Linked DNA regions of Lytechinus pictus. Each later gene encodes a partner of the first gene's protein in a complex. Links are inferred from orthologs where the notes say so. Each region holds a gene or a part of one and is shown in the gene's direction. Other genes may lie near its edges.

Region 1 (6,998 bases):
TTATTTTTCAGCCATATTTTCCCCGATCGGCCGCTCGAAGATGATTTTTGGTTTCTGTGAAGGGGTGGTCTTCTTAGCTTTATTCTTATAAATCAATATAAATATATAATATCATAATCCTTATTTATATAATGTGAGCGCGAAGCGCGAGCTAATTTTTTTTTGGAAATCTTATGTATTTTTTCCTATAATTTGAACATTCTGGGCAATGTTTGTTTTCCTAAAAAAGATGTGTATGCAAATAAATAATTACTACAAACGCGAAGCGCGAGCAGAAATGAACTGGTGGAATAGGTACCTGTTAAAGACAGCATGCAGTTAGTCATGAAGACGTTATATATTTTAAAAATCAAATAATGCGAGCGCGATGCACGAGCTGAATTTTTTGAAATTTTTACTTAAAAATGGAAATTCTAAGGACTTTTTGTAACTTAAACAGAATAGGTATATAATAAACAATTGATGCGAGCGCGAAACGCGAGCTGAAAAATTTTGACATTTCTACATAAAGAATGGAACATTTTAATCAATTTTTGTAATCGTGAACAGGATAGCTATATAACTAAACAATTGATGCGAGTGCGAAGCGCGAGTGGAAAAAAATCGAGATTAGACCTTAACACGGGACACTCTATTCATGTTTTGTAAATTTGGAAAAGAATGAGTAATTCCTACATTAATGATGCAAGCACAAAGTGCGAGCAGAAAATTGTTTATATTGTGATCTGAAACTGGATAATGATTTAAATAGAGAACAAGTTGAATATCTGAATAAACATGCGCGCGCGTGTTTCATATTTAGACCTAGAATCTAGGCATTCTAAATACATCTTTTATCATGAAAATCAAAGCGAGCACGAAGCGCGAGCTTAAACTATTTGATATTCTATATTTCAAGCACTTTGTAAGAAAATTGTAAAGTGGATATGGATCACACAGAGCTGATTTTTTTCATTATAATTCTTTGAGTTTTGACATAGGACCGGTACATCCTTAGGACATATAGGACATCTCATCATATAAAAATGATGAATGTCTTCCTATTCCTCTTGCTAAGCGCAAGATGAAACAAAAGGGACAATTCAATTATTAAATTAATATCTTATTCATTAATGCTTAATGAGGGCGTGAAGTCGATGGCCTGAAAACTGGACATTTCATGCATTTGTAATTATAAATAGGATGCATCAGTTAATATATTTTAACAATTAATGCGAGCGCAAATTGCGAGCCTAAATCTGTGCATTGTCAAGAAAAGGGGATTGTATAATCAATATTGAGACATACGATCAAAATGCGGGCGTGTAGCGCTGGCTGATACGTTTTGACAATCAGACCTGAAAAGGGATATTTTGAAAACTTTATGGAATACACGAAAATAATAGGTACCTGATAAATCGAAATTTGCGGGCGCGCAGCGCGAGCGGGAAATGTTAATATTCAGACCATAAAACTGTCATATTTACAGAGCACTTTTTAAAAATCAATTTGTAAATCACGCAAAATAATAAAAGTTTGATTTTCGAGATGAAATATGTTTTGTATATTGACTTCCAAACTTGATATCTAAACTCCATATTGAACAAGATTATGAAAATCACCTAACAGGCAATGTGAGCGCGAAGCACGAGCGAAATTTTTATGAAGTGACATGAAATATTCTTTTTATTTCCATGTCTTCCCCTCATCTTACTTTATTCACTCGTCTCCTCCTCTTCTTTTTTCTACTCTCTTTTCCCTCCTTTTTTGCTTTCTTTCCTTATTTCCTTTCTTTGCTCCGCCAATAGGGGGGGGGGACGGGACGGGCCCCTCGGCCCCCTCCCCCTGGATCCGCCTATGCATATGGATAGCAGTGGACATCGTTCTGTCGTTTCAATGTTTTTTTATTCAATTGGTCTAATGCCAACTCGTCAGCTTTCATTTGGTCTACCATCAGTTCGTCCACTATCCACATGGTCTAACTGCCAAGTTTGTCTAATAACCAAGTTGGTCCAATTGCCATTTATTCCATATGCCATTTTGTCTAATTGAACTAAGTGTTAATTGGGCGAAATTAAGGAAAATAAAATTGATATTAGACCAACTAGTTGTGAGACGAAATGGTCATAGACGAACTGGTGATTATAGACGAAGTGATGACTGGACCAAATGGTTATTGGACCATATGGTTGTTAGGCGAAAAGTTAATGGCCAGAATTGCATTAGAGTAAATGAATGTAGGTCGACCCTGCAGTGGAGGAATTAGCAGCAGACGAATTGGTTTCAACCCGCATACCGCCCAGGCAAACAAAACAAATTCACGACGAAATTGGCGACGAAATTCACGACGTCGTGAATTTCGTCGTGAATAATTCGCGACGAAATTTACGATGTCGCGAATTTCGTCGTGAATTTCGTCGTCAATATTTAAATTGGCGACGAAATTGGCGACGTCGTGAATTTCGTCGTGAATAATTCGCGACGAAATTGGCGACGAAATTCACGATGTCGTGAATTTCGTCGCCAATTTCGTCGTGAATATTCAAATTGACGACGAAATTCACGACGAAATTGGCGACGTCGTGAATTTCGTCGCCAATTTCGTCGTGAATATTCGCGATTTGGTCTATATGCGATGTCCCTTCAGGGCCACCATACGTCCCCGCTATTTTCATACCCCATGACTACATCGACAATCTCGCTCGGCTAGCACCGGCGATATCAAAGGCCGGATCCCGCTCTGACCATATCCCTACATATCATTGACCTAAATTTGAATAGGCCTAAAATCGACAGTTTGTCGACCTTTGTCGTTACTAAAAAACAGGAGGTCGGAAACAAGTCCACATCTACCCTAACCCAGAGAGCTCCCGCCCGCGCAGCGGGCGGGAGCCCAGAAGCTTACCGTGTATTTTACCATTGTCACCGGACTAGGGTGATTTATGGTCTAAATATTTCTCCAAATGAATTGTGAAAACGGAAAGTATACAATTACCACGATTATATGGATGAAGGTCTAACGAGTGGCAGATTCCTGACATCTGGGCACAGTCTGGAACCTCAAAAAAACGAAAAGTTTTCTCCTTCTACCCAGTCTCGATCGGCCATTTTGTTAGTGATTTTTAACAAAAATGGCCGATCGAGACGGGGTAGAAGGAGAGAACTTTTCGTTTTTTTGAGGTTCCAGACTGTGCCCAGATGTCAGGAATCTGCCACTCGTTAGACCTTCATCCATATAATCGTGGTAATTGTATACTTTCTGTTTTCACAATTCATTTGGAGAAATATTTAGACCATAAATCACCCTAGTCCGGTGACAATGGTAAAATACACGGTAAGCTTCTGGGCTCCCGCCCGCTGCGCGGGCGGGAGCTCTCTGGGTTACATCTACCCCTGATAATTGTCTAATCACAATAAAACTGAAATAAAGGTTTACTTTGGACCTACATGAAGCATTCCGATGAATGTCTAGATCTACGACAAACTATAGACCCCTACTCCCTAGATATAGTATTTTTGAGAAACTCAATGATCACACTTATTTGGAAGTCAGGCAAAAGAAATATTGAAATTGAGGTTTACATAGTGCGTAATACAGGATGAGCCCCGAACCCCGGCAAACACATTACAATTTGCAAGTGAGATCAAAACATGAAAATGAGCGTAACTTACTTTTATTCCTATGGAATGTCATTAGAATAGTATTGATGTTCCCTCCAAGATTTTCCGCTCCAATGAAGTTCACTCAGAAACCATGATTTCGAACATCAATTCTATAAACAGATAATTAGTCTAGCTATTTCGTTTCAGAAACTTCAAATTCGCAGAGTCCAAAAGAACGACACTTCGCACAGATATCGTAGGGAATTGTGGGACGGAAAAAAATGTTTAATGCATGAGTACATGAATAAAACATTAGCGTTTAATCCAATCATACAAGTGCATTATGCGTATTTTGACGTCATTCTCATGAATAAAACATTGACCCTCCAAAATCAACCTTCAAATTGTCCACCGGCAGCCATGTTGGCTGTGTACAGGAGCTTACGGGAGCTTACGTATACGTAAGATCGTATCTCTGTGGCACTGGGGTTTAATAGCGCCATCTCATGATCGGGTCACTTTAGTGTGATATTTGGCTGCATGTGCATGTGTGCGGCGACCGGGAAAAAAGAAGGACTCTCACCGAAATATCATAAAAATGAGCGCCCGATTCATTCCTCCAGAGATACAGGATAATCCAACAGGATGGGGTCCTTGTACGATTCCAAAGCAATTCAAAGATATTCCATACCAACCATTTTCAAAGGGAGATCGCCTCGGAAAGGTAATTACTAGTACATGATAGTAGTGCCAGTGGAATGCCTCTCTATTCATTCATGCATTATTGCATAGGCGTACCACTACCAGTTTCCCATATGTTGTGTAGAATGTGTACGGTATGGTACGGTACGGTAGGGGCCGACTACCGAATGTACGTCGTCGATGATGCGTGTATGACTATGACTATGAGTAGTCTTGAGAAGTCGAGGACTCCATTGGCCTGTTGCACGACCATGACGACGAGATGAGCGATACGTAGGAACGTCCTACTAGTACTACTACTCCTACTCCTAGGAGTCCTAGGTAGCCAGGCGGCTTCTAGAGAGTAAAAATCATTTACTAACGTAAGGTCACTCTCATAGTACGAAGCCAGGGCTTCCGTCATATACTTTTGCGTGTACCACCAAAAAACCTGAAACTTTCGCCCCCGAAATTTCTACTTTCTTTCTAAAAGATCTAGCCCTAAATCATGTACATGGGATAAAACTTCATTTCCGACATTTCTACGCTCTCGTTGTTATTTTTGAACAAGAATTCATCAAAAAAATGAGAGAAATGTTGTGTAAAGACGGAAGAGACTTGCCCGATGTTTTCGCCGCCATCTTGTTTCCTATTGTTCTTCGCCAACGTTACAGACGCATGCGTCGGGTAACGTTGGGGAAGAACAATAGGTGGGTGGTGTCCAAAGAAGATCATGCCTACGTAGGACATGTCTGGAGGTGTCTTTCCAAGGACCATTCTTCGTATCGCCCAAATCGGCTTTGTGAAACAGTTGAGCGATATCTCGTTCTTACGTAGAATGGTTCTACGAAAGACCCTTTCATGCAACAGGCCCCATGATGATGTCTTTTTAAAAAAATTTGACATATACTTCAAGGCTCCACATTAACTTTTTTTGGTGGTGGCCCGTTCGGGCCACCAAAACCATCAAATAATTTTTTTTGGTGGCCCGATATTAAAGTTTGGTGGCCCGAAAAATATAAAGAAAAACATTAAAAATGAATAAAACAAACTTCTGAAATATTAATTCTGCAGCCACTACCACTATATGTTACTTTTACTTTATACATCTTGTATGTAAACCTTGTTTGCTGTTATTTTACTTTGCTAATTTATAAATGTTTCTATCGTTGTATAAATGAAATGATTGAAAGAGAATAAATGAATTGTATTGTTCGCAGGTTGTGTGGACTTTTTTTTTAAATCTCTGTATAGAGCTAATGGTAAAGTAAATAAATAGTGCATAGCAAATTCAGTTAGATGTACAAATCAATGGTTTTTCCTTCCTTCCTCTTTGAATCCTAAAACCTAGATTATGCATGCCCCAAATCCAGTTTATTTCTGTTTTCTCTTTTGCAGCATATTATAGAAGGAGAAAATCACAGAAAAATATGCTGCAAATTTAGAACAATGCATAAAAGGGAGAAACAAACGAAAATAATTTTCAAAAAGTATATTACAAAAAGAAAACAAAAATAATAAAAGAAATTAGTGAAATAAAACAAAAGAAAGAAAATGAAGGGGAAAAAAGAAAAGAAAAAAATTAGAGAGAAAAAAGGAAAGAAAATGAAAGAAAAATTAATAAAACAGTTAATAAAAAAATGGGGAAAAGTGGAAAATTAAGAAGCCATTACATATATTTTTTAACAGCTGTGGCAACAGTCTATTCTGACTGGAATATAATTAAAAGCCAAGCAAATAATTTTCACTTACTTTTTGGGAATGGCACATTTTCATTTTTATATCCTTTAGTTTGTATTATTTTATTTTCAGTAGAAACATATTTTTTAATCAGGCATATTCAATGGGAAGGGGTATAAATGGTTTAACCACTGTCAAAAAAAAATGAAAGGAAAAAAAAAAGAAAACGGCAAAATTTATATCTGGAAAAAAAGTGTGAGAAAAGTCCTTCCCTATATTTGCCAAAATGTTGGGAAAAAAAATCACATTTCATATCAATGAATTGCCTTGCCTTCCCAAAGTATTTACTCTCTCAAGAGTGGTTTAAGAAGTCATTTATAAACAAGAAAGAAAGAAACTGTCTTGTTTGTTTTTGGCTAGAAAATACACAGCTTAAAAAAAAACCAAGTATCAACATACATACAAATGCACACGTGGGACTGTGATGTACTTGCCTATGTGTTTTTATGTGTATTAATTCATGTGGAAATCGGTCTTTTTGAGTCAAAAGAGAGGTCATAATTCCTCTTCTTAATACTTGCAAATAATCAGGGTACATCAGATTTTCGTAATATACAGTGCGTCCCAAAAAAAACTATACACTTTTGAAATGGCTGCCAAATAAAAAATGTAGCACTTTGGGGAAAAAGACTTACATATGTGGAAAGCCAATAAAGTCAACTTTCAAATGACACCAAAAAGTTGGAAAACTATTCATGCTTGAGCGAGCACTGCCCACTGAAACAAAGGGTATGAAAATTAGGGTGGGCTGGAATTAGCCTTCCAATTTATGTCAGTTTTTGAGAGGCAAATCCTTTCGAACTTGCAAAGTTAAGGGCGTTGTGATAAATTAATGATCAGCCGTGACCAGTCTTGGTTGCTTAAGCAAATGTTTTAAATTATTGAATTGAACTTTAATGCATGAGTGAACACAAATTACACTTTTTTGGCAGCATTTCAACTTTATCATTTGGATCTCAGCAATGTGTTCATGGGAGTCGGGAGAGTAAAGGGTG
Region 2 (6,880 bases), on another chromosome or scaffold:
CTTTCTCTTGCTTGGGAAAACTAGAACACATGTCAGCACGCTCAGCATACACTTCATGAACTCGTGGTGAACTTCTTGGTTCTTGACCAGAGAAAAATTCAAGCACTTCAGATCTCATCTCAAGAAAGTTCTTACTCTTTGAAGACATTTCAATTCGTCTTAACTCTCGTTGTACCCACTTCTCTTTAGCTCCACAAACGAAACGTTCTTTCAGCGAGCTATCTTTGAGCCTCTTCAAAGCATTCTTATCTTCTGTACTGGAAGCAGCTTTCTCCATGCGATCGTACAACCTCATCAAGGCCCGGCTGTAGTCGGCCAAACTCTCGCCCTCTTGTTGTCGTCTATTGTAGAAGGATTGACTTAGTGAAGGTACCGACTCTGACGCTGCAAAGAGTGACTGTAAAACGTTGATAATTTGATCACTATCCTTTCGCACATCCTCATCTCGGCATAGAACCTCTTCTTTGGCAACTCCAGCCAAATGATCGACAAGCGACTGTGCTTTTGCCTCTCCAGACAACTGATAGTGAGTAGTATAACTGGAAAACTCTTCAAGCCACTCTTCCAGAGATAAGTCTCCAGCGACTTTAGGTGGACCCTTAAATTTAGACAATTTCACTGGTGGGGGAGCACGTTGAATATTCAAGCCTTGCAGTGCCCGGGTAAGGACTGACACCATTTCCTCTACAGACTGTGACATCGTTACAAGGGCTATATAATTCTACAAAGGGGAGAGAAGGTCTATGCACATGTATAAAGTGGTGTAAATCAATGAACAATCAAAAATTAACTCTACTCATAGTTATCTGAGATTACCTAAACCACCTTTAACTCATTACCAAATGTTCATGTGTTGACCATTCCCTCTCCGAAGTAAGAACGTTAAAGTCTCTTGGATGTGTAGAACTTCACTGCCATCATCCTAGTTGGTCGCTGACCTCTGGACGATAGACCTCAATCGCTGACTTTGGGGTTGATCGCTGACATCGGAACACAGCCATGATCTGATGATCCCATCCTCGTCGCCATTTTGTCGGGGGGTGGGTTGAGTTAGCCAATTAAGACCGTAACGGAGCAAACTTTACAGATGCTACGGGACACCAGATCTGAGCTTCTTTGACTTTATTGAGGTTTGCCAAAACCAACAAAATGAAAGGAGTAACAAAACAACAACCCCAAAATCAGAGGCTACTGGTGGTTACACACCACCTACATCACCCAGGATACCACAAAGGAGTAGCAGCTTCTACCATTATTCGAAATCTCAAGACTCGAGGAGGATCAAATGAGTCGGACCAGATCAGCCCTTTCCCAGGCCTGCTTCGATTGCAGTCCGACCTGCACCAGAACCAGGACGTGCAATAATCTACCTAACGTAAAATGCCAACAAGCAGTGGAGTCGCGGAACCACCCAAAAAAATATCATTCTGCTAAGGATTTGTTAAACTTTGAAACAGCCAATATGAAAAAGATACAAGTATATATATTGTTTTCACTCAATATTACGAGAAAACAAATCCTTAAAACCCTTAAAATACATAACAAGGATTAGAAAATAACTAGAATTATATTTTTGGAGCGTACATACATCGATCATCCTAACCCTATCCAGTGATCCGGCCGATCAAGAGAATTCCAAACACCTGTACGAAAATAATATGCAAATTAGGAACATTCTTCTCAAGCAACCAAATGAAAATTCCACTTTCCGACATAATTATGAGGGGAGCAATAAAAAGCTCTCCCTGTAGAACTTTTAAGGAGAGCGGTAGAGGAGCACTGCAAAAAGCTCTTCTTCAACATACAAGGGGAGCTTTTTGTCCAATTAACAAAACGGATGGAGGAAATATAGGCCTATGTACTAAGTTACAATTAACAACCAAAGGAAGGAAACAATCGAATATGCAATATTCATAATTGTTTTACAATGTTTTGTAATTAGATTGTGTGTTATAAAACCTGTTTGAGTGAGGTTTTGAGTGACTTTTGACTATGGCTAAAAGTTAAGTCACTGACAAATTTTTCGTCAAATTTCGGGGGCTACTTTTTGCATTTCGGGGGCTCTTTTTAAATGCAACTTTTTTGTATTTTGAGGAATACCTGTTCACTTATTAATGAATTATTACTTTTTGTTTAATATTGTATGATTTTTTAAGTTATTTTTTCATGATGCTTAGAATCTTGGATGTGGATGTGTGCGTGTGTGTGTGACTGTGAGTTGGACTTGGATATAAATGAATTCAATATTTAATTTCTACTCCGTCTATTCCAGTACAATACCCTGTACTCGGCCATGTACATGTAATATAGAGGCCCACATACCCTAACTTTTCCTGAAGTTCTTTGAAAATGCAGATCTCCATGAAAATTGCATTTCTCTATGGGGGAGTCTAAATTTGGTGAGAATGTATTCATTAAGATCTTAAATATACATGACAATTAAGAAATCAAACTTTATTGGCAGTTTTGAATAATGTACCTGAAATGTAAACTCTGTCTGAAACAGAAAATCACCATCATTGAGGCCTTTACTGAGCGAATTGTACCCCAGAGCTCTGGCAGAGAGACAGAGCTCCGACTGGCTAGTGTAGTAGTACATGCACCAATGCGTTCGTGCGTGAGCCTGCCGCCGGCCTTGTTAAAAATAGATAGAGCTTTGTTTGATGATTTATTGTCTGATATTTACCTCATCCCCTAGAAAAAGAAAACAAATGATTTTTTAGTTATAATTAATAAATAAGGTAACTTATTTTGGATGTTAATAGGCCGTTTTGAAAAGCAAAGCCGAATGACAACTCACCAATGCTAGGTTACTAGACTCTGGGATTTATTTCCTGTGTAATTCGAATTATTTTATCACAGAATTATCTGTAGGGGAAACATGTGCATTCGAAATTGCACATGGTGGTAGTCATAATGGACCCATATACAGGCAACTGTTTCCCGACCGTTGCGTAGATTTTTTTGGTCATACCTGGTTCCATGTGTATGGAAATACATGGTACAGAAAAAAAGACGCAACTTCAGAATTTTTTTATTTATTTTTTATTTTTTTCATTCTTCATAAAAACAAATACACTGTATAAAAGTCAATACATATAAGTAAAAAACAATGATGAACATATAGAAAAAATAACATAAGAGAACAAAGAAAACAATTTATGTCGAATTGAAACTGCGCTCGCTATTTTCAAGGCTTATTCATGATTTTGAGTGTGGATTTTGGATGATTTTTAAATGGTAAGCGGAGCTCGAGCATATGGCGCTAGTGGGCCGTTTAGTTGTTATCACTCGGCAATAATTTCGGGGGCGACATTCAGATTTGATGTCCCCGAAAGCATGATTTTAGGTGATTTTGAGGGCGACTTCAGGCATTTTCGCTTAGCGATCGCGAGGCGCGCTATTAATCGCGCTACCTAAAATGGATTAAGGCGCGCATGTAGCGCACGATCGCTCTCGCGCGCCTTAAAATTGAGTCCCTGAAAAAATAATATGTATGTCTGAAGAATACTATTACATGCCTTTATGAAATAATTTTTTTGAGTGTCTTTTTGAAAAAGTGACATTTACGTCACTTTATGTATTGAAGAAAATGCAGGTGTCAAATAACCTACCATAATTACATTTTTTAAAGTGGCAGATACAAAGTCAGCTCTGCTTTTTACAACTTAAAAAGATTCATAACTTTCTTACTGTTTTCAACTTTCACCCTTTTATTTTAAAATTCCCCATCAAATCAACTTTCCACTTTGGCTGGGACATAATTTGTGTAACTACTTTGGTTGCTTCATAATGAATGATAATGCTTTCATTTATCTAACAAAGAAATAATCTTTGTACTGATAAAGATGAGTACTGATTCTGTTTGTCAACTCAGAGTTCATTGATGTCGGCAAGAAGCAGCCAGCCTTGGATGCCCTCTATGATGTCATCAAGAGTAAGCGACATCGAACATGGCAGAAGATACACGAACCAATCATGGAGAAGTATCTGGAGCTCTGCGTTGACCTACGTAAGAGCCACATTGCCAAAGAGGGCCTCTACCAGTACAAGATCATTTGTCAACAGGTAGGCATACTTTTGTGGCAGAAATGCTTTGGGGGCTCCTGAATGTGTTGTAGATGTTCTTGACGGTTCCATGACATTTGCTCTGCTCTAAATTCCACGCACTAATCAAATGACCAACTTCAACCCTTGGTTTAACACTATACATGTGCCCTACCCTAAACCTCACATAAAACCCTATTGTAACCCTAACCCTACATCTTAGATGAAATTAAGCCTGGAACAATTGTCGCCAGACCAAATGTTGTGCCACCGCTCTTGACACCATTTTCACTGATTTTTCTTTGATAATAGAACGTCAAAACACCAATCTAAAGTTCGTAAATAAATATTCAAGTTTTGATTTTGGGTACTGCTAGTACATTGTAGAAATAAGAAAAACACTGATCAGCTATTGTTTATTAACTTTTGTTCACATTATGTGGCAAATTTGTGAACTAATCTGACACCAATTGCTCAAGCTGAAGTGAATGATAAGAAATTGTTTCTTTCTTAGATATTTCCTTTTTTTTTTTCATGTGTAATCAAGAAATTTCATAGGTGAGGGAGCATTTCATCAACCCTTGTTGTCCAATAAGTTGTCAGATCTGACGTCTTTCCTTGAATTTGATTAGCTGAGAAGCACTGTTACTATGGTTTTTGTCATTTAAAACAGGACTTATTGGATAAAATATATGACAAGTCCTCTTGTGAAATGCTCTGTTGATTTTAACTCCTTGTTATGTTCTTGCTGTTAGGTGAATGTCAAGTCTTTGGAAGATGTCGTGAGGAAATACTTGAAGCTTGCTGAAGTCAAGACGGAGGAGGCTAGGAAGGCTTCTGAGGCTGTTGTTGGGGTCGATGTTGACGATCTTGATAATCTTACCACCCCAGAAAGGTAAGAAGAGAATTTTTAAAGAATTGTTGTTTCTTACCTTCAGTGTTGGGAAAAGTTTAACTGTTGAAGTTCAGGATTTGACAGTTGACCCATAGCATAAATAATTTATTCAATTCCAAATAAAGCATAAGTCTCGAGATCAGAATCACTTCCTTTGATTAAACACAAAGGTGTAGTTCATTTGCATTTAATTCCAACTTTATATGATAAGCATGCCCGATTTGACTTGATTTTGGGACTAACGCTCGATTTGCAGTTGAATGTAAGATCCTTGCAATGCTCCATTAGTAAGTGTCAACTGATGTTATAGGCATCCCACCAGTGGGTCCTATTATTGACTTGTTCTCCCACTGTTTTTGTCTTCCTGCAGTCTTCTCCTAAGTGCTGTAAGTGGAGAGGATGCCCAGGCCAGGAGTGACCGTGTGGTGTTGATACCATGGGTCAAGTTTCTCTGGGAGTCTTACAGACAGTGCTTGGACCTGCTGAGGAACAACAACAGACTGGAGAAGCTCTACCAGGACGTGGCCCAGGATGGTAGGTCCAGGATCAGGGTCAGAGATGGCACCATGATTCCAAAAATGTGGAATGCTACAGTCACACCAATGAAACCGACTCCAGACCGTTAAAAGCTGTTTTGAATTGCACGTCATGACGCCAGACCGTTAAAAGCTGTTTTGAATTGCACGTCATGACGCCAGACCGTTAAAAGCTGTTTTGAATTGCACGTCATGACGCCAGACCGTTAAAAGCTGTTTTGAATTGCACGTCATGACGCCAGACCGTTAAAAGCTGTTTTGAATTGCACGTCATGACGCCAGACCGTTAAAAGCTGTTTTGAATTGCACGTCATGACTCCAGACCGTTCAAAGCTGTTTTGAATTGCACGTCATGACGCCAGACCGTTAAAAGCTGTTTTGAATTGCACGTCATGACGCCAGACCGTTAAAAGCTGTTTTGAATTGCACGTCATGACGCCAGACCGTTAAAAGCTGTTTTGAATTGCACGTCATGACGCCAGACCGTTAAAAGCTGTTTTGAATTGCACGTCATGACGCCAGACCGTTAAAAGCTGTTTTGAATTGCACGTCATGACGCCAGACCGTTAAAAGCTGTTTTGAATTGCACGTCATGACGCCAGACCGTTAAAAGCTGTTTTGAATTGCACGTCATGACGCCAGACCGTTAAAAGCTGTTTTGAATTGCACGTCATGACGCCAGACCGTTAAAAGCTGTTTTGAATTGCACGTCATGACGCCAGACCGTTAAAAGCTGTTTTGAATTGCACGTCATGACGCCAGACCGTTAAAAGCTGTTTTGAATTGCACGTCATGACGCCAGACCGTTCAAAGCTGTTTTGAATTGCACGTCATGACGCCAGACCGTTAAAAGCTGTTTTGAATTGCACGTCATGACGCCAGACCGTTCAAAGCTGTTTTGAATTGCACGTCATGACGCCAGACCGTTAAAAGCTGTTTTGAATTGCACGTCATGACGCCAGACCGTTAAAAGCTGTTTTGAATTGCACGTCATGACGCCAGACCGTTAAAAGCTGTTTTGAATTGCACGTCATGACGCCAGACCGTTAAAAGCTGTTTTGAATTGCACGTCATGACGCCAGACCGTTAAAAGCTGTTTTGAATTGCACGTCATGACGCCAGACCGTTAAAAGCTGTTTTGAATTGCACGTCATGACGCCAGACCGTTAAAAGCTGTTTTGAATTGCACGTCATGACGCCAGACCGTTAAAAGCTGTTTTGAATTGCACGTCATGACGCCAGACCGTTAAAAGCTGTTTTGAATTGCACGTCATGACGCCAGACCGTTAAAAGCTGTTTTGAATTGCACGTCATGACGCCAGACCGTTCAAAGCTGTTTTGAATTGCATGTCATGACGCCAGACCGTTAAAAGCTGTTTTGAATTGCACGTCATGACGCCAG
Region 3 (6,884 bases), on another chromosome or scaffold:
TTTTTACGGATACCGGACGTCAAAAATATTGACTTTTGTGGACTTTAATCAATGCATAATTTCAGTGTTGCTTTGCATTGTATAAAAACAGTTGTACTGAATTACCTGTTACAAGAAACTATATGACAAAGTCTTTATTGTGTTTCGAAACTTAAAGTTGAAATTATGTTGTTTTGGAGTTTTTCGTTACCTTCTGTTTAGTAGTTGACAGTTTGTTATTAATTAGCTTGGGGACCAAGCTCGAGAGAGGAGGGAGTCGTGTAACGAACTATGTTTCCGATTTAATGTCATAGAGAGCTTATAGGGTCTGTAAACGTAGACTATGTGGAAATCGTATGTGTAGACGTTCTATGATTTAACGAAAATTAGCAAAAATCGCACATTTTATAAACATGTTGGAGTTGTCATGAAACCTTTTGATTAATTTATTATTAGCAAAGTTGCCTAAGCATTATCCAGTTGTTTTATTCGAGAAAGCTGGTTGATTAGCAAAGTTAATTAGGTTATTGTAGTTGTTGAAGTCATCTTTAGTAACTGTTTTATCGAAGTGTTAAAAAATGCATAAATACGAGGAGTCGATGAGCATTAAGGACGATTTGTGTTACGGCCCTTTACCGTAGTGCAAATGCTGCCCTTCATCTCTTGTATATCATTTTGCTCTGTACAATGATTTATCTTTGAGAAATTAAAGGTAAAGATATCAAGCATTGAACCTACACTCTAGACTACGTTCTTATGAGTGTTAGGGTGCGTTTATCCGCCACTTTTTTACCCTAGAATCATGATCTGAATCATGATTCAAATCATGATTCTGCAGAATCACGATTGCGTTTAGTCGAAATTGAATATAATCATGATTAGAATCACAAACATGAAACACGATAAAAGGGGCGTTTGGAAAGACGTTTCTGCAGAATCACGTACGAAAATGTTCGAATAAACGATATCGTGATTACAATCATGATTCTATGACCTCACTGTTGTGTCGGGCTACTTTCGGTTTGACTCTTGCCAAGCTCAAGGCGCTCTATATGCTCATTGTATGTACATGATTACGTACTACGCATGCATTTCTTGTCATGTTCAAGTTCTGTGTTGGTCATCGCATCGTCCACTACTTTTCATTTTTTGGTCATGTCTTCAACTTCAAGTTCTAGTAAATGAATTAACTGGACAGACAATGATCTCAGTTGTTGTTGAGTATACAGTATCAATATTAAATTGGATCTACGCTGAAATTCACTTCCAAACACCATTTTGGATAAACTAACGAGATGAATAGAAACATATGGACCCTATATGATAGAAGTAAACAAAATGAGGTATAGACTGAATTCTGGAAGCAAAAGATTTTTCGAGAGCAAAAACACGTGCGAAAAACTTCCTCTGTCAAACTGCGCACTAGTGATGCGCACTGGATTGGCCCGAATCTGAGGAGAAACAGCATTGGAATGAAGGTCGTCTAAACGCTGATTCTGTGATATTGTGATTCATGTTTTTGTTTTGAATCATGATTCAAATCATGATTCTGGCTTGAGGTCGCATAAACGCAGCCTTATAAAGGAACAAATGATTGGTGTACGGAACGAATGTTGGTGACTGAATGGTCGACGGATGTCCGATTGACTGAAATGAGACGAGAGAGGTGATCGATTGCAATCGACGGATGATCTGACTGGAGAAACCAGAGACGACGGTTGGTGATGGTTGTTAATCAGTCTTTTCCATAAACCATCAGCAACGGTCATATACTTTGACCAAACGAACGCAACTGACGGTCAGGCACGGTGGCATCCTGACAAGAAAACCGTGTCAGCTGAAGGTTGGATTAGAGGCCGTTATACTTTCTGGCCAATTCACGAGTCGTACACAATAAACCGCCGGCAGAAAAGGCGTGCAGAAAAAAAATGGAAAAAGCGATTTCGTAATTTTCCCGCGCGGAAGCAAAATTTTTGTATGAAAAAAAAAAAATAATGAAAAACCATGTGTACCCCTTCCCCCTTTTTCTTCTTTCACTTTCCCATTCTTTGTTTCTTTTTGGGTTACTAAATATTCTTATCCCATCAACCTACTCCACCCCCCGACTCAGTAAGTACTATTTCCCCCTTTATTACATGCGCTGAGATATAAATAAAAAAAATCCTACACCAAAGATTGCAATTCATATTAACTCGTGCAAGGTGAAAATTAAACTGATCTCAATCCCCCGGGGGGGGGGGGGGGGCACTTACATTGACGAGTGGATACCATGCGCGACCAAAAAAACACGCAAAAAGGGTGTCTTTTTCAAGATAGGGCACGTTACGTACGTAACGTGATAAGGGTGTCAAAAACACAAAAATATTGAAAAAAGGGTATCTATTTCGCTCGGAAAAATATACGTGTTTAGGGTCAAATATGCGGGGATGATAAAACAAAATCAAAATGTTCTATAAAGGATGTCATTTTTGCCCCAACACTACGTGTTTAGAGTCCGATTTGCGCGAGGTGTGGAAGGTGGGGCCGTACTAAACCAAAATTATGGTGTCTAAAGGTAAAACCGACGACCGACGGACGCGTGACATATAACAATAAAATATCTATGTACTTGTTTAGGGGTTCATTTCAGCATGGACCTATTACGAATAGGTCCATGATTTCAGGGAATACTTGCTAATAGTATCGTTTTGTTTCCAATACTTGTTAAGGGGTGCATTTTCAGAATATGGAAAATACGTGTTTAGTGTGCTTTTCAAGACCCCGTGGTCGCGCATGGTATCCACTCGTCAATGGAAGTGGCCCCCCCCCCCTGGTCTCAATCACAACACCCTCAACTGCAATTTCCAAAGGACCCCGCTAAGGAATTGCCTCTCAAAAACTGAAAGAAACATGTAATTCCTGCTCAGCCTTAGTCATATACCCTTTGTTAAATGGGCAATGCTCACCCTAAGTAGGAATAGTTTTCCAATTATTTTGTATCCAGGGTTTGGCTCATCTTTCTTCAATTACAATTACAATTGGGTAATTGTAGAAAATAATGTTCAATTAGTTTTCACTTACAATCAGCAATTACTTTTGTCAATTACATTTACAATTTCAATTACTTTCTATAAAAGTCATGAATAAAATCAATTTGTACTCTGTATGTACTACTAGCACCACCTATTTCAACATACTTTATAAGTTACAGAGAAACTGACAAGATGAAGGTTTATGTTAAAGAGCACAGATTCTGCCTATTACACTCTTTGATGCTGAAAAAAAGTTGACATGAAAAATGTCATACATGAAATCAAATAATAAATTGAATAAGTTTATTGTCAAGTAATTGAATGTAATTAAAAGTAATGACAGTATTTCAAGTCAATTACATTTTTTTCAATCACTTTCCCTTTCAAAATTTCAAATACAATTTAAAAAAAATGTAATTAATTACCTAATTGATCAATTATATTGTGATTGAGCCCAACCCTGTTGGTAACATTATTTTGAAAGTTGAGTTTATTGGCTTTTATAACTTAAATAAATATAAATAAATAAGTAAAGATATATAAATTCTTGCTCGTATCCTGCCAATGGTTACAAAAGTCTAAAGTCTAAGTTCATGAAAAAACATAAAATTCAGCTCGCACTTCGCGCTCACATTATTTTCTTTAGTACGACCCGCCACGACCTAATTCGGTAACGTTAGGCGTAATGTATTCAATTACAGTCTTTATGAATAATGCCCTCAGATTTTAGCTTTACAAGCAATCGAGAGGGAAAATGTACATTTTGTTAGCACCCCCTCTATATTGGAAAATGGTAGATCAAATCCGCCCCTGCGGGGGGGGGGGGGGGGGGAGTTTCTCCCGGCCCACACAAATTGCTCTCAGGCAAGTCATCGCACCCATCGCATTCACGCGCGTAAGCTCGCATTATAGCGCGCTCGCAGCTAGCTAGCCTCGCACCCGCCCAATATGTAAATATGGCCGACTGGGGTGAGTAACATGTGCAGTGACATATGTCAGAAAATTATAGTGAAATATTGATTTGAGTAATTCCAGTGCAAAATAGTACATTTATTTCTTACATTTATCTTATGATTCTTTTTTAATCAGAGGACGACGATTTTGATCCTGATGCGGGTTTCGCCAAGGCGACTGCCGGTGATAAATGGGAAGGAGAGGATGAGGAAGAAGATGTGAAGGTGAGATTTTGCTTAGCCCCACTCCTTTTGACTTGTGTTGTGTATGTGTCGGAGTGCATTTTATTTTAGTGGCGAGTTTGAAACAGTGTCACTCAGTGGCTTTAATTTTATTTCTTTTACTTATATATAGAATCACATCACTACGCCAATTTGATTAGTTTAATTGTATGTTTATATGTATATGATCTTTTAGTTTTATCCTTTTTTTATACATTTTTGGGACCTCAAAATAAAAGGTTGAAAAAAGTCATGAATTTTTTTGGGGAGAAAAGCTGCAGAGTCGAGAGTATTATAATGACAATGTTAGCCAGAATTTCAAATTCAAGCACCATTGACTTGTACAAAATCCACAGATGTTTAACGTTAGGCCCTAACCAAAATTTTAGGTTTAACTTAGAGTTAGACTTCGTACTTTTAGTAAATAGTAGACTAATAGATTAAGCTGGCTTGGCTTGGAGTTGGATATAATTTGCAATATCGAGACTGCAATAAACAGTAGAGGCGCACGGGCACGGCCAATTATGGGAGACTATCTCCCACGAGAGAGATTATCTCCAATATCAGAGACTTTTGTAAAGAATTTGAGAATCCAATTTTAGAGTCTGGGAGACCAATTTCCTTCGTTTACATTTGCTGCCAAAGGATTACGTTGCGTTTGTGGCAAATAAAAATGTTCCTCATGAAAAATTACCCCTTTTCACCCACTACTTTAAAAATTCAGTCTAATTTTGTTTTAATAAGGATTTTTGTTGTCATCCACACACAAAACAAACGGGCTTTGATTCTGACCTCAGTGAGACAAAATTTTGGGTGGAAAAAATTATGCTTTTGTTGGTGTTGTTTTGTTCTTTTGCAAAGCAAGTCTGCAATATAGGAGATTGTCTCCCGTATTGGAGAGTCTCCCATATTGGCTGTGCGCTTCTACTGATAAACAGTAGATTCTAATCTAGATCTAAAAAAGTGACTAAGTTTACTCAAAGTTTCTTCTTAAAAGAAAATTATAATATCACTGGAAATTCATTGAATTGAATTTATTTAAACCAGTAAAAAAAAAAAAAACGCGGTGCTGACTTTCTAAAAATGTACCCCCTGTGTATGCGTCATTGTCGACCAATGAGGTCAGTGCTGTAGGATTGGCCTTCTTTGCCACAGGCACCAACTTATGAAATTCAAGAAAATAAAACCCCAAAAGTAATGGAAAATTTATTGATTTTTTGTTGTTGTTGCACAATTCAGTCATGGATAGTAATCGTGTCTAATGAGGTCTAACTTGGTCTTGGAAGAACAGAAATTGAAGCTGATTATTATTTTTGTTTTCTAGGATGACTGGGCTGCATCAGATGAGGAGGAGGAGAAAGAGGAGAAAAAGGAGGCAGGTTCTACAGAGCAGACAGCGACTTCTGGAGATGGAGGAGGTAACTTATCAGGCTATGTCAGCCAATAATCCCACCAATCCTCAAAATTGTTAAAAATCCTACTTAGGATATCAGAAAAAATATAGAGAAATGCGGAGATATCGAATTTGTAAAGGATGAAGCCTTTTAGAACACTTGCTTCTGCTGTCAATTGCTTTTGGTATAAGTCTGAGGTTAAAGCTCTATGCTGCACCGTCGCAAATGGCACTGGTTGAAGTTCTGCTCTTGTTGGCTAATAGTCAAATTATTCATTCATTTCTAATCTTTATAACAAAAGCTTATTATACTGTTGAAATCGGACCAGACAGTGAATTTTGACAATGAAAACAACAATCTTTGCTAAATTTTCACTTGGTCTGGCAGATATAATGGGAGCTTGGTATAATGATACAAATTTCAATCTCTTCAAAGTCTTAACCAGTTCATTTCTCGATACTAAGTTCACTGCCACATCTTGTAATTTGAGGGTAAAATGCTCTTGATGTTAATGAATTTTGCTGTCCCTCTTGAAGCATTGTTATTATAATTGTATTTTTTTTTCAGCAGTTTATAACTTGGAAGAAAGATGATTTAGACATTTTGAAATTTGAATGTTGTGTTTATTATGGTCACACAATGGTCGTTAGTGATTATAATGAGTTATTTATATATTCCACAGCATTTCAAGTCAAAAAGAAGAAGAACAATTTAGAAAAAGCATTGCAAAGGAAAGCTGAAAAGAGGAAAGAGAAGCTAAAGGAAGCTGAAAAGGTAAATATTGCATGGATTCTCGCGCTCTCTCTTTATCTCCTGCCATATTCAGATTGAATTCTTTTTACCAACTCCAATGTATACGATTGTATTCACTTGACCAATTGACTTATATGGTCTAATTCCCAGATTGTCTAACACCATCTTGGCTATACCTATTTGGTCTACTACTGATTAGTCCAACCATCTCTGGGTCTTTCAAATGATCTAACCAGCCAATGGGGGCGTTGCACGAAACTTGTGATCAATTGCAAGTCTATTTCCAGTCCTTAAAATAATCCTATGTCTTACAATTAATTGTAAATATGCAATCTGCTTCTTAAATCCTAAATTTTGAAATTAATAGCGAATTTGTAATTGATTGCTAATCTGTCTCGAAACAAGCAGTGTAATCTGATTTGCTGCAGCTAAAATTGATAAATCACTTGTGAATTACAAAAGAATATTAGCAATTACTTGGAAATATTTTTTTTGCAATATCCCCTAGGTCTGTTATTTGGTTGGATGCCCTGGGGGGTGTTTCACAAAGATTTAAGTATGACTTAAGTCGC
Region 4 (7,043 bases), on another chromosome or scaffold:
CTACTCTTTATTAATTCTTACAAACAGTTCTAAAAATCCTATTTTTTTCTTGTTTAATCAACAAAGACTTATAATCACGATTTTATTTGATAAGGTATAGATACAAAACTCTCTTCATTAATTTTTACAAACAATCGTCTCTTTTTAGGAGAGGATATACCAACAAAATCAGCTCGCGCTTCGCGCACGCATTACGCCGATGAGATACGTATAGGAAGTTAATGAATTCATAAAATACTCTTTAAAATTGTACCCTTTCAAGTAAGTATCAGCTCATTGCTCGTGCCTGCATTGATTGCTTAGTTATAGATCCGCATCGTGGGACTTACTTCTCCCTAAAATGTCCCGATTTCAGGTCTGAATGATTTTCGGCTCGCGCTTCGAGCTCGCATTAATTTTTTAGAATTAATATTCAGTCTTAAGATCTTAATGTTGAATAAAAAAACAGGTTCGCGCTTCGCCCTCGTATTAGATCGATTTATTTAATGAGATCCCTGCATCAGTGATTCCCTGTAATAATTTAGTATGATAAATGTTCCTTTTTCAGGTCAAAAGATCAATGATTTTCAGCTCGCGCTTCGCGCTCGTATTCATTGTTCAGGTATAGTTAGATACCAATCACAGTTATGATTACAAAAAAACAACAAAGAATATTCCGTATTAACGTCTATTGAAAAATGTTTCCACTCGTATCAATGCGAGGGTCTCCGCGACGGGAAAATGGGAATTTCTATGGTTTTCTGAATTGCTGATGCTCTGGACCGGAAATTTAGGCTGGGGGTCTCAACCACGGCACATATACATGTACGTATCATTCATTTATACTGAGTATATTAGGAAGTTGGTGAAAGTAATTCCCCCCCATTGGCGAATGATCCCCGTATGGAGCTTGCATAATAAATAAAATTATCAAATTAAAAGATATTTTTATTTACAATAATAACTATTAGTTAATAATAATAATAATGATGATAATAAACAATAATAATAATAAAAATAATAATAATGATAATAATAAATCATAATAACATTTAGGGCGCTTTATAGGGCGCTTAATTTGTCTCAAAGTTCACAAGTGGGTGTGCTGACTAATGATAAATATAATCCATTAGAAAAAACTCTATATTTAATTAATTAACCAAACCAAATTTATCGGTGAATTATCGGATGGTCTAATACCACATCATCTACTTATCAGTTCGTCCAACTTCACATAGTCTAAACTCATTTCGTCTACAACCAGTTTGTCTAATATCCAATTCGTCTAATTCCCACTTGGTCTAATATCCTATTCGTCTAATTTCCATTTTGGCTAATAACCAGTTGGGCTAATTTCCACTTGGTCTAATATCCAATTCCTCTAATTCCCACTTGGTCTAATATCCAATTGGTCTAATGAGCAGTTGGGCTAAAATCATTTAGTCTAATTTCCAGTTAGTCTAACACCACTTGGTCTAATTTCCACTTTGGCTAATTTCCACTTGGTCTAATTATCATTTTGTCTAATTGCCACATGGTCTAATGACCGTTTGGTCTAATTTCCACTTGGTCTAATTTCCATTTAGTCTAATTTCCACTTGGTCTAATATCCAATTGGTCTAATGACCACTTGGTCTAATAGCCAAATGGTCTAAAGACCACTTGGTCTAATGACCAGTTCGGCTAATCGTCACTTGGTCTAATTTTCATTTGGTCTAATTCACACTTGGTCTAATGTCTATTTATTCTAATATAGCATCATTCATTATTATTTATTTATCTAGAATTAGCAAATATGGTACGTAATGGATAAATACAATGCATCAGTTAATACATATCGCCAGGATCTGGAGGGGTAGAGCTGGTGGGCGCAAAACCTCACCGTGAAGGACTATCGATGACAAGATAGTCGCTCATCAAACTAATTATTCTAATAAAATAATTCTCATAATTAGGCCTGTATATCGATTATAAGATGATGATAAAAATTATATCATACTCATAATCATTACATCACCGCATGCACATTTACAGAACAATAAGTTGGGGACCTTGTAGCTTATAATGGTCGAATGGCGGGGTTTCATCAGAATAAAATTATTATGAAGAAAGGAACGAAAATATAATGTAATTGATTGTGTGGATACGTATCTGGTAAACATATATATGCCTCTTTTAAATCATTGTTATGCACCATTACGGACGATACTTGAACTTGATGTCCTAGTTATGCAGTTTGGGGGAACCAAAACTTACAAAGTCATTAGATCATGTAATTTTGTTATGAACATTTGTTTAGTTATTTCAATATTTAGTTTGGAGGCAAATAACAGACAAGTTAGATATAGTTTGATAACACTATACAGGTATATTGGGTTAGCTGCGACAACATAACTGCGACCATCTTGGTAGCAGCCACATAATTCTGACGTGTAATAACATAGTATACATGTAGTCTACGCTTGCAGACCTTTATCAGTTATCACCACAACAGTCATTCATCTTATATATCTTCTCATTCTGTTTTTTGTTCTACTTCTTCGCCTCTTCCTTAAATGGATTGGCAAGGTTCCCACCCCATTAGGGAAATCAGGGATTTTTAAAACGTTTTTCCAGTCAGGGATTGCCTCAAATCCGGGAAAAATGTCTCAAATGAGGGCAAAATCAGGGAATTTTGATCGGCCCAAAAGTCGAAAGCATGACAGTCTGTTATATTTTGTTGTATTTTAAAACAACATTCATTGAATGACATGATATGGTGTTGGTTTTTTTTTTAGTGTAGCCTCTTCTACTACAATACAAGTATAGGCCTACTGGTACATTATACATGCATAACTAAAATAAAAATAATACATGTAATTCACTGCAACAACTTCGAAAACATGTGAAACTGGGAATGGGTTTAAATAATTATCAAGGAATTTTTTAACTTCATCAGAGATATCAGGGATTTTTGTTTTCTTGAAAAGTTGGGAACCATGATTGGGTTAAGCCATCGTTTCTATCTACAGTAGATCGTATACATAGAGGTGAATAAATAAAAATAATATTTTTTCACCTCTATATTAGCGTTATTTTACAGAAAAATAGCAAATTTGATTGTTTTTCACCAAAACCTTCAAAAATCCCCTGAAACAGACAAAAAATCCCCAAAGTTTGTATAATCCCCAAATAATTTTTTTCATCCCCACAGGCTTTCGAAAATCCCCATATTTTCAAAATTCAGTTGGAGACGAAATATACGTCACTCTAACTGTACTCCAATATCGAGGGGCGCACATGTGAAGATTCGAAGCCGGCGCGCGGAAAGTAACTTTAAAAATTTCACCAGAAAATTGAAAACAAGTCACCATGCAGACTTTACGAATTAGACCAAATGGCATGTAGACGAAATGAATGTTAGACTATCTGGAAATTAGACCAAGTGGAAATTAGCCGAAGTGGAAATTAGACCAAGTGGAAATTAGCCGAAATGGAAATTAGACCAACTAAACATTAGACCAACTGCACATTAGACCAAATGAATAATGGACCAAGTGAGGATTAGACCAACTGGTATTAGACCAACTAGTATTAGACTAACCGACTATTAGACGAACTGGTATTAGACCAAATGCAATTAGACCAAGTGACAATAAAATACATTAGACCAAATGAAAATTAGACCAAGTGGCTATTAGACCAAGTGGTCATTAGACCAATTGGCTATTAGACCAAGTGGTCACTCATTAGACCAAAAGAGAATTGGACTAAGTGGGTTTAGCCCGAATGTTGTTAGCCCATCTGATGATTAGACCAAGTGATAATAGACCATCCGTCAGTAAAATCTCAGGTTGAAGCCGGGGCTGAAATCCTCTTTAAAAATTATATTTCCCTTTTTTATTCGTTCTTGTGAAGGTAAATATTTATGCCGTTTTCTTCCTTCTTTTTAATCGCACGCTATTAGTCGCCAGTAGCCAGCGCGCAGCTTGTATCGTCTATGTCCGGCGGAGCCGGAGATCTTTGATTGAACGCGCGGGCGCGGCGCTGCGCGCGCACATCCATTGAAGGAATCTGTCAAGATGGCGGAATTCGACCTGACTTCGAAAATCGGACAATATTTGGATAGACATCTTGTTTTTCCGTTGTTAGAGTTTTTGTCAGTACAAGAAGTGAGTATTATGTACAAAGATGGTGTCTCAAACTTATACGGATTGTATAATCGTTGTAATTATCATGAATTTCGTGCCATCTGGTCGCAACTGTGTGCCCCCATGTGGGATTCGACAGTCCGACGTGTTCACTTTTGCGTAGGCAATGGTAGGCCCTGGCTTAGCCTTAGGCTAGATGATATGATAAATCATGATCTCAATTTGAATAGTAACTGCCCAAGATTCAACATGACATGTTAAGCTATTCTGCATGATATTTTTAATCTAAAAAATCTTTTCACAAAATGAAAGAGATCCTTATGTATGACTGTGTATGTTTGTTGAGCATGCAGTGTTTTGAAATGGAGACGAGTCTAGAGAGTAGATAGAGATAAGGTGTCTGAAGTGAAGAGTGAAGACTGAAGGCAGTGAAGCCACACTGAAATGTGTCAGCACAAAACAGGCTAATTTAGGGGAAAATATGGCACATTTTTTCGGGGAAGTTTAGGCTACTAGTACTATAGGCCGGTCAAATTGAAATCCTAAAATTTTTATTTGAACGTCTTCACATTTTTATTTACAATGACATGAAAGAGAAAACAAAATCAAAGCAAACATACCAACTCCCAGTTCCAAAGGTTTCCAAAAAGTGAAGATATTAAGTGTCAAACTATGGCCTTTGTGAGACCAGAAAGGGACAGAGATAACCGATTCAGCCCCCTAACTTCCCCGAAGCTAGTTGTCACGTAAAATGGTCGATGAATAGCTAGTTTCGAACGACCTCCTTAAATTAATATTCAATTTTAAATTTGCCGCTGCAGCCCGGCTCGTAGTCTGTGGTAGCTTGTGCACGAGACGTTATTTACGAAAAATGCATTCTAAAAAGTAAAACTCTCGGCAAAATCGTGATATAGGCCCCGCTCGAGAAAAACTTGTAATCGATTATACTACCTCAATATCTAGGTTGCTAACTTCAGCTCACTATATATACTCGTGATATAGGCCCCGCTGCTGTGTTGAATGGCTTAGAATGTCCGTTTGCGGGGCCTGTTTCACGAGTATAGTACTATAACCGTTATATAGGCCCCGCACTACGGCACTTCAGACACTCCAACACAGTAGCGGGGCCTATATCACGAGTATATATTAAGCTTGCATCCTAAGATAGTCGCGAAACTGGCCCCGTCCAATGCGCTTTTCCCAGCATTCGCACGTGTGTGGGGCTCGGATGACGACTATAGTAGTATACTCGTTATCGAGGCCCCTTACACTGTTATATAATGGAAAATAACGTGGTCGTGGGGCTTGTTTCCCCGGCCGGTGAGAATTATCATGGGCGGCGCTGTAGGGGGAGCCTCCAATTTATTTTCCAAATATACAAGGAAAGAATATCATGAGCGGCGCTGTAAGGGGCGGGGGGCTCCTTATTTTCCAAATAAACAATTAAGGAGAGAATGATTTAATACTTCTTCAGAAATTTATTTGTGGATTTATTTGTATTTATTCATTAATCATTTGATTTATTTGTTTTCATTTTTTTTTTCTTTTGTGATGTAGAGAGTCAGAGGTATCATTCGTTTTTAATTATTTTTATGTGTAAAATTTCATTTATTTATTTCTCAATCTATTAATTAATGTATTTATATTTATTCATTAATCATTTAAGTCATTTGTTTTCTTTCTTTTTTTTGTTATAGAGAGAGTCAGAGTTATTCGTTTTTAATTCTTTTTATTTGTGGAAGCTCATTTAATTTATTTATCAATCTATTTTAATTGATTAATTAATGTATTTATATTGATTAATAAATCTATTTATAGTTATTCATTAATCATTTAATTTATTTGTTTTCAGTTTTTTTTCTTTTGTGACTGGTAGAGAGTCAGAGTATCATTCGTTTTTAATTATTTTCATGTGTGAAATTTCGTTTATTTATTTATCAATCTATTATTTTGATTGATTAATATGTATTTATATTGATAAATAAATGTTGATATTGATAAATATATTGATTAATAAATGTAAAAATGTATAAATGTATTACCCAACAAGGCAACGACAATATTATCATCTCCCATTAACAAGAACTTTATTTGCAAAGAATTCATTTGTCTTTTCCGGGCCCGCCTACTGGAACTCTCTGCCTCAAGATTTTAAAGAATCCCCTAATATAAATATTTTTAAACGCAAACTGAAAAAAATGTTAATTTTGCAATACTCGTTGCAAGCAGATCATGCTGAATAACTGATTTATTTATACTCGGTTTTTGTGTCTATCGTGTATTATATGCGCTCGTATACACTCGTATATACATGTATATTATTTGTTATTACTTTTTTCTTCTTAAAATTGCAACTAGCCAAAGTACCTGCTCCTGTTGCCCGATTTCTTTCTATGTTATGTACACTGCATTTCTCTGTCCCTCCCCTCTTCTCCCCCTCACATTCCCCCTCTCTCCCTAATGCTATAAAACAAAATATTTCTCACATCAGTTTTTTTTCTCGTAAAATGCACCAAAATTGTTTGTATTTATTTTTAAAGTTCTATATATCATTACGACCCAGTGTTTTTTTTTGTAATGAAACTAAGTTTATTTAGGGGCTTGCCTTTTGTACAAGCTTTGCTTTTTTTTGGCAAGACCCTCCGTTTTTACTTTAAAATACAATTGTCATATTAGGTAATTTTATTCATTGAATTGTGCTCCTTAAATCTAAGATTATGTTATATATATTTTATTACGTCTTGCAGTATTTTCCACCTTGTTTTGTTATATTTATCATGCTTATGTTGTGAAACGGAAATCAATAAATCAAATCAAATCAATATTTATATTGATAAATAAATGTATTTATATTGATAAATAAATGTATTTATATTTATTCATTAATCATTTAATTCATTTGTTTTCAGTTTTTTTCTTTTGTGATATAGAGAG

Evidence for each region.
Region 2: eukaryotic translation initiation factor 3 subunit D-like (region 1) and eukaryotic translation initiation factor 3 subunit A-like share a complex: the UniProt entries of both Drosophila melanogaster proteins name them as parts of the eukaryotic translation initiation factor 3 (eIF-3) complex. The link is inferred for Lytechinus pictus from reciprocal best matches to the Drosophila melanogaster genes eIF3d1 and eIF3a.
Region 3: eukaryotic translation initiation factor 3 subunit D-like (region 1) and eukaryotic translation initiation factor 3 subunit J-like share a complex: the UniProt entries of both Drosophila melanogaster proteins name them as parts of the eukaryotic translation initiation factor 3 (eIF-3) complex. The link is inferred for Lytechinus pictus from reciprocal best matches to the Drosophila melanogaster genes eIF3d1 and eIF3j.
Region 4: eukaryotic translation initiation factor 3 subunit D-like (region 1) and eukaryotic translation initiation factor 3 subunit E-like share a complex: the UniProt entries of both Drosophila melanogaster proteins name them as parts of the eukaryotic translation initiation factor 3 (eIF-3) complex. The link is inferred for Lytechinus pictus from reciprocal best matches to the Drosophila melanogaster genes eIF3d1 and eIF3e.

Annotation. Positions count from the first base shown.
Region 1 is NC_087254.1:36,520,569-36,527,566, reverse strand, and holds the start of eukaryotic translation initiation factor 3 subunit D-like, read left to right. Parts: upstream 1-3,977; 5' UTR 3,978-4,180; coding exon 4,181-4,306; intron 4,307-6,998. UniProt on the Drosophila melanogaster protein: mRNA cap-binding component of the eukaryotic translation initiation factor 3 (eIF-3) complex, which is involved in protein synthesis of a specialized repertoire of mRNAs and, together with other initiation factors, stimulates binding of mRNA and methionyl-tRNAi to the 40S ribosome.
Region 2 is NC_087256.1:10,923,837-10,930,716, reverse strand, and holds the start of eukaryotic translation initiation factor 3 subunit A-like, read left to right. Parts: upstream 1-3,876; 5' UTR 3,877-3,978; coding exon 3,979-4,068; intron 4,069-4,802; coding exon 4,803-4,942; intron 4,943-5,312; coding exon 5,313-5,476; intron 5,477-6,880. UniProt on the Drosophila melanogaster protein: RNA-binding component of the eukaryotic translation initiation factor 3 (eIF-3) complex, which is involved in protein synthesis of a specialized repertoire of mRNAs and, together with other initiation factors, stimulates binding of mRNA and methionyl-tRNAi to the 40S ribosome.
Region 3 is NC_087249.1:11,753,735-11,760,618, forward strand, and holds the start of eukaryotic translation initiation factor 3 subunit J-like, read left to right. Parts: upstream 1-3,877; 5' UTR 3,878-3,946; coding exon 3,947-3,959; intron 3,960-4,079; coding exon 4,080-4,168; intron 4,169-5,489; coding exon 5,490-5,583; intron 5,584-6,241; coding exon 6,242-6,333; intron 6,334-6,884. UniProt on the Drosophila melanogaster protein: Component of the eukaryotic translation initiation factor 3 (eIF-3) complex, which is involved in protein synthesis of a specialized repertoire of mRNAs and, together with other initiation factors, stimulates binding of mRNA and methionyl-tRNAi to the 40S ribosome.
Region 4 is NC_087261.1:10,574,164-10,581,206, forward strand, and holds the start of eukaryotic translation initiation factor 3 subunit E-like, read left to right. Parts: upstream 1-4,017; 5' UTR 4,018-4,040; coding exon 4,041-4,130; intron 4,131-7,043. UniProt on the Drosophila melanogaster protein: Component of the eukaryotic translation initiation factor 3 (eIF-3) complex, which is involved in protein synthesis of a specialized repertoire of mRNAs and, together with other initiation factors, stimulates binding of mRNA and methionyl-tRNAi to the 40S ribosome.